2 linked regions of the Arabidopsis thaliana genome follow. The protein of the gene in region 1 purifies or fractionates together with the protein of each later gene. This does not show direct contact. Each region holds a gene or a part of one and is shown on either strand. Other genes may lie near its edges.

The links.
Region 2: the proteins of AT5G10780 (region 1) and LrgB fractionate together in Arabidopsis thaliana (co-fractionation; one large-scale study listed by BioGRID). This does not show direct contact.

The regions. Positions count from the first base shown.
Region 1 is NC_003076.8:3,405,549-3,412,346, reverse strand, and holds AT5G10780 (ER membrane protein complex subunit-like protein), read right to left. Parts: upstream 4,069-6,798; 5' UTR 3,926-4,068; coding exon 3,797-3,925; intron 3,646-3,796; coding exon 3,589-3,645; intron 3,404-3,588; coding exon 3,250-3,403; intron 3,042-3,249; coding exon 2,944-3,041; intron 2,823-2,943; coding exon 2,757-2,822; intron 2,627-2,756; coding exon of another isoform or gene 2,623-2,626; coding exon 2,563-2,622; 3' UTR 2,277-2,562; downstream 1-2,276. Other genes in the region: UBP22 (ubiquitin-specific protease 22), read right to left, coding at 1-587, 713-831, 955-1,709.
Region 2 is NC_003070.9:11,535,850-11,543,431, reverse strand, and holds LrgB (uncharacterized protein), read left to right. Parts: upstream 1-3,535; 5' UTR 3,536-3,675; coding exon 3,676-3,951; intron 3,952-4,023; coding exon 4,024-4,339; intron 4,340-4,478; coding exon 4,479-4,740; intron 4,741-4,828; coding exon 4,829-4,944; intron 4,945-5,044; coding exon 5,045-5,154; intron 5,155-5,234; coding exon 5,235-5,412; intron 5,413-5,481; coding exon 5,482-5,611; intron 5,612-5,709; coding exon 5,710-5,860; 3' UTR 5,861-6,190; downstream 6,191-7,582. Other genes in the region: AT1G32090 (early-responsive to dehydration stress protein (ERD4)), read left to right, coding at 325-477, 574-709, 789-890, 974-1,093, 1,174-1,254, 1,329-1,669, 1,749-1,994, 2,089-2,413 and 2 more; NSI (nuclear shuttle interacting), read left to right, coding at 7,143-7,183, 7,255-7,331, 7,439-7,499, 7,576-7,582. UniProt on the Arabidopsis thaliana protein: Glycolate/glycerate transporter required for photorespiration.

The sequences.
Region 1 (6,798 bases):
CAACATCCCCTTGTGTGTCACAACCGCAAATATCTCAAACTCCGCTGATGGAGATGATGATGACGAACTGTCATACTCACCTTCTCCATCAAAGGCAAATATTCTGTTCCCAAACCGCTTTCCGATGATGGAGGAAGAGAGGTAAGGAGACATGTTTAGGCGGAACGGATACTGCAAGTAGCTATCAATTTTTCTCGAGGTTTTACGGGTAAGAGAATGTTCGAAACGCTTTACGTGCAAGCAAAGAAGCAGAGGAAGTCTTCTTATAGACATTTGTTTCGAAGATTCTCTCTTTTCTCCACAGCTTTGGCAGTTTAGTTTCTGGTCTGGACCGAGTTTCTCTGACCGTGTGAAGAAATCTAAGCAACCCGAGAGAGTTGGCATGATTGCGTTCACACTTGGTCCACCACTGTATCTGTTCTTTCTGCAATCAGCGGGAGAGAATCCATTCATTGAATCTAAAGTAAGTGAAATGTCGATAAACGGGTCATATGTTGTTGATGTGGATCCACATGTTGTACAGGTGACATCTGATCTTAAAAGACCAGAGAATGCCTTGTGGGTGATACACTGACACTCCTCATTATCTGCATAGTAAACCAACAAACATCAAATCAAATTCTATCTTGAAAGTTTCATCACTCAACAGAAATCTAAGGCCTTCAAACAAAAAACAACACAGAAATGATCTCTTCTTCCAAATTAGATTTACCTTGATACAAACATTTCGACTTCCCTTCGTTCTCATGGATACGGTCCAATAGCGAAATGAAGAACTCGTGAGAATCTTGCTGCTCATATGTAGCTAGATTCGTTGAGTGCTGCCACCAACTTCATGCACCAAAATAAAAGCCGAAAAAATATCAAAATCACCATCACATAATGTCTACGAAGATATCATATAAATTCTAGAAAAGCTTGTATAGACACAAATGAAGAACTCAGAGATCAAACCTGTAAAGCAAATGAGCAGGGCTATATGGAGTCCGATCACCAGAAAACATAGCAGAGAAGATAACATCAAGATCACAAGGCAAACACAACAAACCCATTGTTCTTCTAGGACAAAGATCACGATTATGTTGACCACTCAACCAAAAGTTTCTCAAAGGAGGAGCATGAACAAGTGCTTGCAACACAGCATTCATAAAACAAGTGCTTCCCAGATTGTTCAAACCTCTCAACCCCAAAGGAAACGTCCATTTCTCCCTTCGATCTCGAGGTGAGACCAAAAAATTCGACCCTATGATCAATTGCGAGTCCAATCTCCTCTTCTTGTTCGATCTAACCGCAACAACATCAGCCCCTGATTTAACAGACATACCCAAACCAAAAAGCTGCTTAGACACAACAACCTCGTCGAACTCAGAATCATACACTTGATCGATGCAAGCACAGCAATAAAGCTCAGATCTTTCGACATCAATGGCGATATCATGGCCTTTATTCAACTGGGTATGCAAAAGGATATGACTTGAACAAGAAATGGAACGACAGATCAAACAGATGTAGAGTCTCTTTTGATAAACAGAACAATAACTGCATCTGGGTATGTCGATTCCTTGAAGTTTGATCTTAATCCTTGCATCGTTGAAGCATCTGAACAAGTTATTGAAAGATTTGTAACCATCAGTACCATATCTAAGCTTATAATCAGATAAGTGATTGCACGGATCGGGATTTTTCAGAAATGAAATCCTCGCGGACATGAAAACAAAACTCAGATTCGCTTCAAAAAGAAGAATAAATGGAATCAAAAATCACAGTGACCAAAGTAAGAGTTTTTGTTTGAGATCAAAGAATCAATCCTCTTTTTTTCTGTGATGAAAAACAAAAAAGAAAGAAAATTTCGGATCAGGTTAGCGTGTTAAGAGTCATCATCTCTCTGTTCGTTTTTATCAAATTTTTACTAAAAGATCGGAGGATTATGCAAAGGAAAATTTTACAAGATTAATGGGGAAATATCTATTTCTCTTTTTTTCTACTTTCTTTTTTGGGTGTTTTTTTCTTTCCTGTAAATCTTTTATTTCTTGCAAATCTTATAATCATTAAAGTAAACATTTTTGTCGTCCAGAGATTTTTTAGAGTAGACCGACTTACATGATTCTAAAAGACTGCACTTTGTTCCACGTCGTCTTCTGCTTCCCAAACTTGACCTAGTTTCTCATTGCGCCTTACTAGTCCACTCTCTTGTAACTTCTGAATCAACTAGAAGGTCTCAGTCATGGCAAAATGATATCAAGCATTGATTGATTGTTAACTCAGAATCATTGAGTGGAAGCAATAAAGAGAGTAAAGCTTTTATCTGAAATATTTTATCCATTCCTGTCTAAAAAGATGAGAAACAAAAAGCTGGGAGATAAGGTCCCTTCAGTGCCAATAATACATTCATAGTTATGATGAACAATGAGCATCATACTAAAAAGTGTAAAAACTATGGTTTCTGAGTTTTGAAAATGCTACAAGAATATCATAAGATGAGGGAGGTTCATATCACTTAAGTAACTGTTGCAGTTATCTCACAAAAGTGTTGTCGTTGTCGCGCGGTTTTAGCGGATTATTTTAAAATACAAGAGACGCTGATTCATCAGTGGAAAACAAATCCTCCGCCCGAGTGTTCAACTTCCTGAAAAAGTAAGAGGAGGAAACAAGATGTGCAGCTTAGAGATGATTCGTCAAAATGCCAGATTCTTGCTTTCACGGATGTATTTAAAACACATAGGCCTAAGATTTAGCTTCAGACAGAAATTACCAACCTGAGGAGGGGGTAGAGATGAAACCCAATCTGATGCATGTGTTGGAAGAAGCCCCAAAGTGTTAAGCTGAGAAAGTGAAAATCGTTTGTATAAGGAAACAGTTCTTTACACTTGTAATCTAAGCCAGTGTTGCCATACGGAAAAAGGAAAGAGGATACAATGAGGAAACGAAAAAAAAGTTTCTTACCTTCCAGACACCCAAAGCTAGCCCTCCAAGGTTTAGGGCAAGGAACACTAATTTCGGCATAAGTAGTTCCACTTTGTTATCCTTGAATGGCTCAAAAACTGCAGACAAGGTGTAAAGGTAAAATATAAGGAATGATGGATACTACTTGCAAGTTCAAACACCATTTCATTTAACTTTTATATTTTCCAATCAAGAAGTCATCACAGTTCGATAAACTACATATAATTGTGGGCTGACAAGCTAATTAATAGGATACCAAATTGCATGTTAGGCAAAGACGAATAAGATGTAGTGAAGGAAACTTACTCTTTCCAACACTCTGAAGAGCACTGATAGGCTGCCAAAGAGCAGAGAAAGTAATACCAATACTAAAAAGATGAACTGTGTTTCCAGCCATCCACATCATGAAACCCATCATCATCAAATTCTTAAATGGAGATTGCGCTACTTCCCACGCTTTCTGCTCATTCCCCAAAAAAAACATATCAGTTTTATAAACTTCATCCTCACTTCAAACCCAATCAGATTTGGACAGCGAAATACAGTCTAACGTAAGCTCTGTGACAATCCAATACATGGAAGTCAATGGCTTTTAAGATCTACATAGAGTAAGATACGACTTTCAGATTTGACATAAGTGTATACCTGAAGTTTCCAAGTAGCTTCAGCGTCTTTCTTTTGGCGGCTGTTTGCTGAATCATCCTGAACTCATCAAACGATAACACATCAAATCCCAGTAGCAAAACAACTCAATTCTCAGTCAAAATTCCAAATTGAAACCTCGAATCCAATCGAGAACAACAGGAAATATAAGAATCCAATACCGGAACGGCCTAAAAAGAAAGAAATTAACCTGTTCCTGAGAGGCACGAGAGAAGCCAGGTGGATCGAGGATGTCACGGGAAGATGGAACAGTAGATTGATCGGAGAATTCGACGGCCCATCTCCGACCAGTACCCATCACTGCTTTGCCTTTGTCCATTGTCTTCTTTCTTCGATCGAGAGAGACACAGAGAGATTGGGGAAGAAGAGACCTAGATCGGATTTATCTTCTCCTCAGCTTTAGATGTTTTCCCAATTCGAATAATTGACAAGGAAAGCTAAAAAAAATCTTCACTCCAAACCCGTTTCTTCAGGTCGGGTCCAAATCCAGATATTTTAACTGGATCTCAGTTTCCTTTATTCTATTAGGCTTTTCAGCAACTTGGCAAATTGTTTAATGGGCCTTTACGAACCCATATAGTCTATATTACTTCTATTGCTTCCAAACCGGTACAGGTTCGATTAAAGAGTCTACTACTAATATGAAACGAATTTAGATGTTCATGTAATAATGATGTTCGAATTCGGAGGTTTACACACGATGTATTTTGGTATATCTTCTTGAAGCATGCGATGTGTCATTGTTAAATTGTAGTGGCAAATCTAGATGTGTTGATACTTTGCATCTCTAAATTTGGTTCTGCAGCTACCATTATTGATATATCACTTTTTTATTGTTATTGGAATTGGTACCATATATAAGTTATAAAGCTCGTGAACGATAACACACGCAAGACGAAAGACCATCCACTATTATTGTTCTTAATATTGTTAATATACAAACCTAAAATGGAATTGATTTACATAAGATACTCCCTTCGTTTAAGCCATTCCATCTACCCACTATAAATTATGAGTTGATATAATATTTCATTTCAATCTTTTTATTAGTGGAAACTTATCGGATGATAAAACAAAATCCATTGTGGGATGTGACAACTAACGAATTCCCACACTGCTACAATTCACCAGCTTTATAATTTCTATAACTACATATTCCATAAATTTTAATTTTAGTTTTTTTATTACATATTCCATATAATTGATTGATATTCAGTTACAAAACCACCATTATTCTTTGTTAGATTGTCATTTTCTTTCTTTTCTATCCTACCACAACATTCTCGATCGTATATATCTCGACACTATGCATAGAGATAGACGTTGATAGTCGCCACAGACGAATAACGAGGGTTTCCGAAACAAAATTAAAGAAAACAAGAATTTTGTTTTCATACAAACGTAAAACACCCGGGAGGCCGGGACCATTATAAAGTATCTGAATAATTTAGACTAAACGAGTGTTATTGCCTCCTCATCTTTTTCAAACACTTCAGTATCTTTGTCTTTATGCTGATTTATCGACGTTAACACATTTGCCTTGTATAAGCATTATCTTGACAATAATTAATAACGCCTGTAAGAAAAGCGATGCATCGACTTTAGCAAAAAAAAAAAAAGGATGCATCGAACAAGCTTTATGTTGTTTACAGAATTTGAAAATATTATTGCCTTTTCAATTGGCTCGGTGGTTTTTTATTAGCAGACGTCATATATATCCAACTTTGCATTTTATGTTGAGTTAACCTTTTTATATAAAATATATATGAAGGTTTTATAGAACTTATTTTGGGATTTTATAAATTGAAATCATATTTGAATGCCCTAAACTAACTGTCCATGTGTCAAAAACTGGTATAGTAAATATATTTGTATTTATCAGGAATATAATGTCTGATAAAAATGGAGAGTTAGGTCATCACTCAATTCAATTTGTTTATCAGAAATAAATTATATTTCATCCACCGTCTACGGATTCGATATAATAAAACCAAATTCATAATGAATATCACTCCCCTTTTAATTATATATACAGAGTTTCATATTTAGAACCAACAACCTGCATTATTGATGAGTCAAATAATCAAATATGAGTGTTTAGTTAGTAAAGTAACCAAACAGTAATAAATAGTATATGTTTTTTAAGAGAGATAGTAGTGATTAAGTCAATGTAAATTGTGAATTTGGACGACTGTTGTTGAATTTTCTAAGTTTCTAGAAATTAGGGTACAGATTCCAGCTTTCTCCCACTTCCACTACATTAAGATTCTTTATTAGAATCTTTATCTTTTGTTCCCACTTGTACTCATTACTTTTTGTCAAATTTTGTTTTCCGGAAACTATATATTGAGGCCCACACACATCCAATTAATTGATTTTCTTGTGGATTTTATATGTTATCTCATTCACACTTACATGTATTTGGTCCAAATTACTTTACAATCACTCCATTTACTTATATCTAGTGTATTATTTGTTATTTTTACCTATAACTTTCGTTCAACTTCAGAACTTTCTTTTAAGTATAATTTTCTTAAAGCTTTCACTGTAGGATGCTAAGATGTGAGATCACATGTTGATGTTCAACACGTTCATGTAAACAATTATTAAATCTAGCTACCAAATGCTAACTAAACTACGTACATTTAATTTTCGAAGGAGAGTGATTTCGTGAAGCAACACTATTTCCAAATTGATGCAAACATATGATATGTGACTTAAAATGTATACGCGTAAGTAAGCATGAATCAAGAGACATGATCATGTAGATTAATTTCCTAAAGATGTTGCTTTCATTCTTTTTGTGTTACTTCAATACTATGATCACTTTGGATTCTCTTAATTTTAAGCAACATTATTGCTTGCTGGTATTCAATTATTGGCGTTCTAATATGAGGCTTATGAATTGACTCTTCCATTATTAGGCGAAAATATCATTATGGAGAGTACATTAATGTTTTTGTTAACGAATAAACTATAATTATACGTTTATAAATGGGTTCATTGCACATTTGAATAATTGAAAATATAATTTTGTTTCGCAAATTAACGAATGAGCATCACACACATCCATGCATGATTCGACACCTACCTAATCAGTTTACTACTGATCAATGAATCATTTGGTGGAATATTATCCCGTTCATTGTGCTGAAATTGAAGTGTGCATAGACAACAGAAAATAACAATAAT
Region 2 (7,582 bases), on another chromosome or scaffold:
TGTGGGTTTTTTGTGGGATTGATTGTAATCTCCAAGAACGAATTTTTACGAGTGACAAATTCCCGAATTTCACGGTTTTAAGAATCTTTACTCGTGAGAATGATTGTACTTTATTTTAACAATATAAAGAATGTACAGCTAAGTTTCAGATTTGTCTGCTCTGTATTCCACAAAGACAAAAGCAATAGAAGTTTCGTTTCTGTTCACTGTTTCGTGTTTGTTTCCTGAGAAAAAGTCACTCTTTAGATATCTTTCTTTTTTCCCCGGGAAAGTTACTGTAAAAATTTATGTGAGAATCTGAATAATTTGTTGGTTTGTTGGCAGCTTGAAGATCTTTGCACCAGTGATGGTATTAGCGCTTGTTGTTCTTGTTCCAGTAAATGTATCAAGTGGAACACTTTTCTTCTTGAAGAAGGAACTTGTGGTCAGCAATATCGATAAGCTCTCTATATCCAATGTTCAGCCCAAATCTTCAAAGTGAGCTTACTTGTGAACTAAAATTATGCTTTACTAATCAATGAGTTTTACTGGCTAAAGTTTAACATTTCTGTGTATGTGTGTGTGTGTGTTTAGGTTCTTCTTTCATATTGCAGTAGAGTACATTTTCACGTTCTGGGCATGTTTCATGCTCTACAGAGAATACAATAATGTCGCTATTATGCGTCTGCAGTATTTAGCTTCACAGCGTAGGCGTCCAGAACAGTTCACTGTGAGTGAAAAAGCCGCAAACTTCAAACATGGATAATTGTTGCATCTATGTTTATATATACTACTGTTTGTTTTTGCAGGTTGTTGTTAGAAACGTCCCTGACATGCCTGGTCACTCGGTTCCCGATACCGTTGATCAGTTCTTTAAGACGAATCACCCTGAGCATTACCTCTGTCATCAAGTAATTTTGTTTGTCCTTCATCACTTACTTTAGTTGTAGAATGCGTTAGTGTGTGATTGATGAATTCAACATTCTTGTTTCAGGCTGTTTATAATGCGAACACTTACGCAAAGCTGGTGAAGCAAAGAGCGAAGTTGCAACGTTGGTTTGACTATTATGTGCTGAAGCATCAACGTAATCCGCATAAGCAGCCTACTTGCAGAGTTAGTCTCTCCCACGCCATTTGTTTAGCTTTTTGAAATGAAACGATGTTGATTGTGATGGGCGGATTTTCTTTTTTCAGACAGGTTTTCTTGGTCTATGGGGTAAGAGGGTTGATTCCATTGAGTACTACAAGCAACAAATCAAGGAGTTTGACCACAATGTAAGCCATTCATTTGCTTTTTAAGTTACTGCTGAAACAGAAACTTAAACCTCGTTTCATCTTTGGTGATACAGATGTCTTTGGAGCGTCAAAAAGTTCTCAAGGACTCCAAGCTAATGCTTCCTGTTGCATTTGTGTCGTTTGATTCACGATGGGGTGCTGCTGTTTGTGCACAGACGCAGCAGAGCAAGAATCCGACATTATGGTTAACGAGTAGTGCTCCAGAGCCTCGTGATATCTATTGGCAAAACCTTGCTATACCTTTTATCTCTTTAACCATCCGGAAACTCGTAATTGGTGTCTCAGTCTTTGCCTTGGTCTTTTTCTACATGATTCCTATCGCCTTCGTGCAATCTCTTGCCAATTTAGAAGGTCTTGACAGAGTTGCACCTTTCCTCAGACCTGTTACTAGATTGTAAGTCTCTCCATCTATCTCGGTTTTTTGCTTCTTGGTATGTTAGACCATTGATCCCTCTCCTTGGTATTTATTGCAGGGATTTCATCAAGTCATTCTTACAGGGTTTCCTCCCCGGTCTTGCGCTGAAAATTTTCTTGTGGATTCTCCCTACGGTTCTGCTAATTATGTCGAAGATTGAGGGATACATCGCTTTATCAACCCTTGAGCGTAGAGCAGCAGCAAAGTACTATTACTTCATGTTAGTTAATGTGTTCTTGGGAAGTATCATTGCTGGAACCGCGTTTGAGCAGCTGCACTCTTTCCTTCACCAATCACCATCTCAGTAAACCACCTTTTACTTCTATTAACCGTCTAAAGATTCTAACTTTGAATTAAAACTCATATCTTAAATGCTCTTGTTTATTGTGTTTATGCAGGATTCCTCGAACCATTGGGGTCTCCATACCGATGAAAGCTACATTCTTTATCACATACATAATGGTTGACGGATGGGCTGGGATTGCAGGTGAGATTCTCCGGTTAAAGCCCCTCGTGATTTTCCACTTGAAGAACATGTTTATTGTGAAGACTGAAGAAGATAGAGTGAGAGCAATGGACCCTGGTTTTGTCGATTTCAAGGAGACTATCCCATCTCTCCAGCTCTACTTCCTCTTGGGAATTGTCTACACTGCTGTTACTCCCATTCTTCTTCCTTTCATTCTCATATTCTTTGCCTTTGCTTACTTGGTCTATCGCCATCAGGTTCGGTTTCATACCCAATCACCCGTCGTATCTAATTCTCCGCTAAATTTTGGGTTTTCTTGATGGTGCTTTCTTGGTTTACAATGCAGATAATCAATGTTTACAACCAACAATACGAGAGTTGTGGAGCGTTTTGGCCGCACGTTCATGGCCGGATAATCGCAAGCTTGTTGATATCTCAGCTTCTGCTAATGGGACTTTTGGCTTCTAAAAAGGCAGCTGACTCAACTCCATTGCTTATCATCTTACCCATTCTCACACTTTCTTTCCACAAGTATTGCAAACACCGCTTCGAACCTGCCTTTCGACAATACCCTCTTGAGGTAAATAAAGAATCTTTTGGGCTCTCTTCCTAAAAAAAAAAGGTTTAAAGCCTTCTTACAAAGACCCGTGTTTTTGGTCTTAACAGGAAGCAATGGCGAAAGACAAGTTAGAGAAGGAAACAGAACCGGAGTTGAACATGAAAGCAGATCTTGCAGATGCTTACTTGCACCCAATTTTCCATTCATTCGAGAAAGAAGTAGAATTATCATCATCATCATCATCAGAAAAAGAGACTCACCAAGAAGAGACACCAGAGGTAAGAGTGGACAAACATGAAACACAGTCGTCTAGTCCTGTGACAGAGCTCGGTACTTCTTCCCATCACCATCATGTCTACAATTCCACTTCCCCTTCTTCTCACTACGCTTCAGCTTATGAGCAGTCATCGTCTCAGTATGAATATCACTACAATACTCATCAGTACGAGGAGCATGAGTACCGTTACAATTGATCTCTAGACAGAAGAAAAATATGTAATCTCTTATGAGTGTCATAACTAAAGGTTTCTTTTGGTCTAGGTTTAGGTTATTTGTTAGCTGACTTTGGTTTCGGTTTTAAAGGTTAGGAAATTGGTGTTAGTGTCATTCACTTGTATGAAAATATATTCGAAGATTTAATTTATTGTCATCTTTCAAGCCTATTGTAATTGTAAAATTTGGTTTATTGGATATGATAAAAGTTACGTTAGAAAATACTCTAATAAAAAAGATGTATCAAAAACTATATTAATATTAAATTAAAGTAGACAAAAGACCTTTCTTAACGGAAAAACCTAACCCGGAAAAAGACAAAACTGGATCCTCTTGTCGATAGAACTTTCTCTCTTGTCCATACAAATATCGTAATCCAATTTCAATCACAAACATCATTAACGAAGATGGAGAAGACTATGATGTGCCGTCTCTTAGAATCACATCCACGTCGTCGTCTCCATACCCATGGCTACTCTTTTAGCCACTCCTATCTTCTCTCCTTTAGCTTCTTCTCCAGCAAGGAACCGTCTTTCTTGCTCTAAGATCCGTTTCGGTTCCAAAAATGGGAAAATTCTCAATTCTGATGGTGCCCAGAAGTTGAATCTCTCAAAATTCCGTAAACCCGATGGCCAAAGATTTCTACAAATGGGTTCTTCTAAAGAGATGAACTTTGAGAGAAAACTCTCAGTCCAAGCTATGGATGGTGCAGGAACAGGAAACACATCAACGATCTCTCGTAACGTAAGCTTCACGATGTTGTTTATTTACCATTTTATTGTAACAGCTTTTTAAAGTTTTGAATTTTTCGTTCAGGTAATTGCGATAAGTCACTTGTTGGTATCACTTGGGATCATTCTTGCTGCAGACTATTTCTTGAAGCAGGCGTTTGTAGCAGCGTCTATTAAGTTCCCAAGTGCTTTGTTTGGGATGTTCTGTATTTTCTCTGTTCTTATGATATTTGATTCGGTTGTTCCTGCTGCTGCAAATGGTTTGATGAATTTCTTCGAGCCTGCGTTTCTGTTTATCCAAAGATGGCTTCCTTTGTTCTATGTTCCTTCTCTTGTTGTTCTTCCTCTTTCTGTTAGAGATATTCCGGCTGCTTCAGGTGTCAAAATCTGCTACATTGTAGGTATGAACTTGATCTTCACTTGGTTAATGATCTTGTGTTCTCTGGTAGCTTTTATGGGTTTTTTGTCTAATTGCTCTGTTTTGTTTATTATTTAATGCTGATCTGATGTCAATGTTGATTTGAATGTTTGTTTGTATAGCCGGTGGATGGTTGGCGTCACTTTGTGTAGCAGGGTACACAGCTATTGCAGTGAGAAAAATGGTGAAAACCGAAATGACGGAAGCCGAGCCTATGGCAAAACCATCACCATTTTCAACACTTGAGCTATGGAGTTGGAGTGGAATCTTTGTTGTGTCGTTTGTTGGTGCTCTGTTTTACCCTAATTCATTGGGGACAAGTGCAAGAACTTCTCTCCCTTTCCTTCTTTCTTCAACTGTGCTAGGTTACATTGTAGGTTCTGGGTAATATTCAAAAACCCTTCTTTGTTCTCCATCTTTAAGCCTCTCTATCTCGCGGTTATTCTCAGTGTCTTATCTTTCTTTCTTCCAGGTTGCCATCTTCTATTAAGAAAGTTTTCCATCCGATAATCTGCTGCGCGCTATCTGCAGTACTTGCTGCTCTAGCTTTTGGGTATGCTTCAGGATCTGGACTTGATCCTGTTTTAGGTAAAGTTACCTTCACTATGAAAGAAACTATAGAGAAACCCTTTTTTGACCTAAAACAGAAAGTAAAAGCATTTTGTTAACTGCTCTTTAATGGTGACAGGAAACTACCTTACCAAAGTAGCATCAGATCCTGGTGCTGGTGACATCTTAATGGGTTTTCTTGGCTCTGTCATTCTCTCTTTCGCTTTCTCCATGTTCAAACAAAGAAAGGTAAAACAAACAACAAACTTGTTCTGTTTTGCTTTAGAAAACTGGTAACAATCGCTTTGGTTTGCCTCTGTCTTCTTCAGCTCGTGAAGAGGCACGCAGCTGAGATCTTCACATCTGTGATAGTTTCAACGGTATTCTCGCTCTACTCCACTGCTCTTGTTGGACGTTTAGTCGGTTTAGAACCTTCTTTAACGGTTTCAATCCTACCTCGCTGCATCACGGTTGCATTGGCCCTTAGCATTGTATCACTCTTTGAAGGTATATATGTTTCTTCTTCTTCTCAACACATTAAAGAACATCCCTAACGAATTTGTTGGACATTTTCAGGGACCAATTCGTCTCTTACAGCAGCTGTAGTCGTTGTGACTGGTCTGATTGGAGCTAACTTTGTACAAGTTGTTCTTGACAAACTGCGTTTACGTGATCCAATTGCTCGGGGAATTGCAACTGCTTCAAGGTGACTCCATTACAAAAGATCTTTCACATTTTGAATTAAAATTATGCATTAATGCCATTAGGATCAAAAGACATGACCTTTCTATTTTTTATGGACAGTGCTCATGGACTTGGAACAGCAGCTTTGTCGGCTAAGGAGCCAGAGGCTCTTCCCTTTTGTGCAATAGCTTATGCTCTTACCGGAATCTTCGGATCGTTACTGTGTTCTGTTCCTGCCGTCCGACAGAGTTTGCTAGCGGTCGTCGGCTGAGGATTGATGATGTGGCGAAACACGATTGATGGTCTCAAAGCTGGCGAGTTACTTAAAATATGAGAGCAGTTTGCTTTGGATGTCAAATAAGCTTGTATTAATGAAAAAGATGATGGAAAATGTTTATTTATTTTATTTTATATATGTAAATGTTGTGAGATTTGTACAACATACATAAATTTTATATAGGAGTAGGATGTCCCAGCTTTCCAAAAATTTGTCACAAAGGTATATTGTCTCCATTTGAGGAAGATGAGATTTGTCGATGAAAACTTCGTCCTCTAGTTGAGTTTGTTACGTTGACTAGACAATAATTGCTCATATAGTAATAGCAGGTTGAAGATTCATTTGATGGAGTTAATGTTGAAGGCCAAATGAGGAGAAACAATAGATTCAGCAACATATCCTCGAAGGCCGTTAGTCGTGGACTTGGCGAAGGCGCTAGCAATTGGCTGAGACTGAGACGCTAGTTGTTAATGAAGAAAGTTTCACATTGGAAGTTGGGGTTAGTATCAAGTAGTATATAAAGAGTTAGAGTCACTCTACTTATTGCCAATTGATTTTAGGTTGGAATGTCATGTTAAGCCCAAATCTATCACTGGAAGTACCTCATAGCACCAATGATCAGTTTTGATAGCAGCTTCATACTTGCAATCCCAACCAATAGTGATCTATGAAGTATATTAAGAAATGTTAGAAACAAATATTCTAAAGCTTCCACGGCTCTTTATTTGCTTTGAATGATTATTTTAATAATTTGATTATTAGAACCAAAGTATGTTAAAAATTTAAGATTTTATGAAAATGGATAAATTTAAGATTATTTTGAATAGTCATTTATATATATATATATATATATATATATATAAATTGCTAACCGATCCAGGAAAAACAAAACCGAAACAAAACTGGTTGCGAAAATCTTATAAAATGATAATAGATTTTGATATGCTGGTAAATTTACATTTCACTTTTCTTAAAATGTGAATATAAATATTTTAATTTAGAAATTTATGTATTCTTTATTTTTCTTTTCTGTCAAACAGAAAAATCTGTCTTCAATTTCATCTTGTATGTGATAAAAAAAAATTATAAGAAGTCCCCAGTAACAATCCTTTACAAACAAATTGATGAATTCAACAAAAATAAGGGAGAGGGCAAAAGCGTAAATAACAAAAGTCGATGACGAGGGCCAAAGCCCCAATGGAAGGTGTTAAGCTAAACTCTCTTCTTGTCTGATATTTCTTCTACTCTCAAGTCTCAACCACATAACCAATAAAAAATGCTACTAATCCCAATTTCTTCTTCTTCGTCTTCGTCTATGTAAGTTTCCTCCTTTTTAACATTCAAATTCTCATCTCTTAACCATATTACTAACATCGTCTTTGTTGTAGTAGCCCTCCTCCTAATTCATATCCATCGAATCATCACTCTCTGTTTTTCTCCAATCTCACATTCCCAATTCAACATGGTACTTATCCTTCATCAATCTGTTGACTTTTTTTTTCAATTTCACAATTCAAATTCGAAGATTTGGGTCTTCGTATCAAGAGTTGAGATTACAATTCTGTTCTTCAGGAAGTAGAAAGTTGAAGACTTTGCGACTCAGAGCCAATTTCTGGGAGTCAATCCGATCTGGGTACTGAAAAAGCTTCATACTTTACTTACTCATATGAGAAATTAGGGGCTGATACTATAACACACCATTGTTGCAGGTTTGTG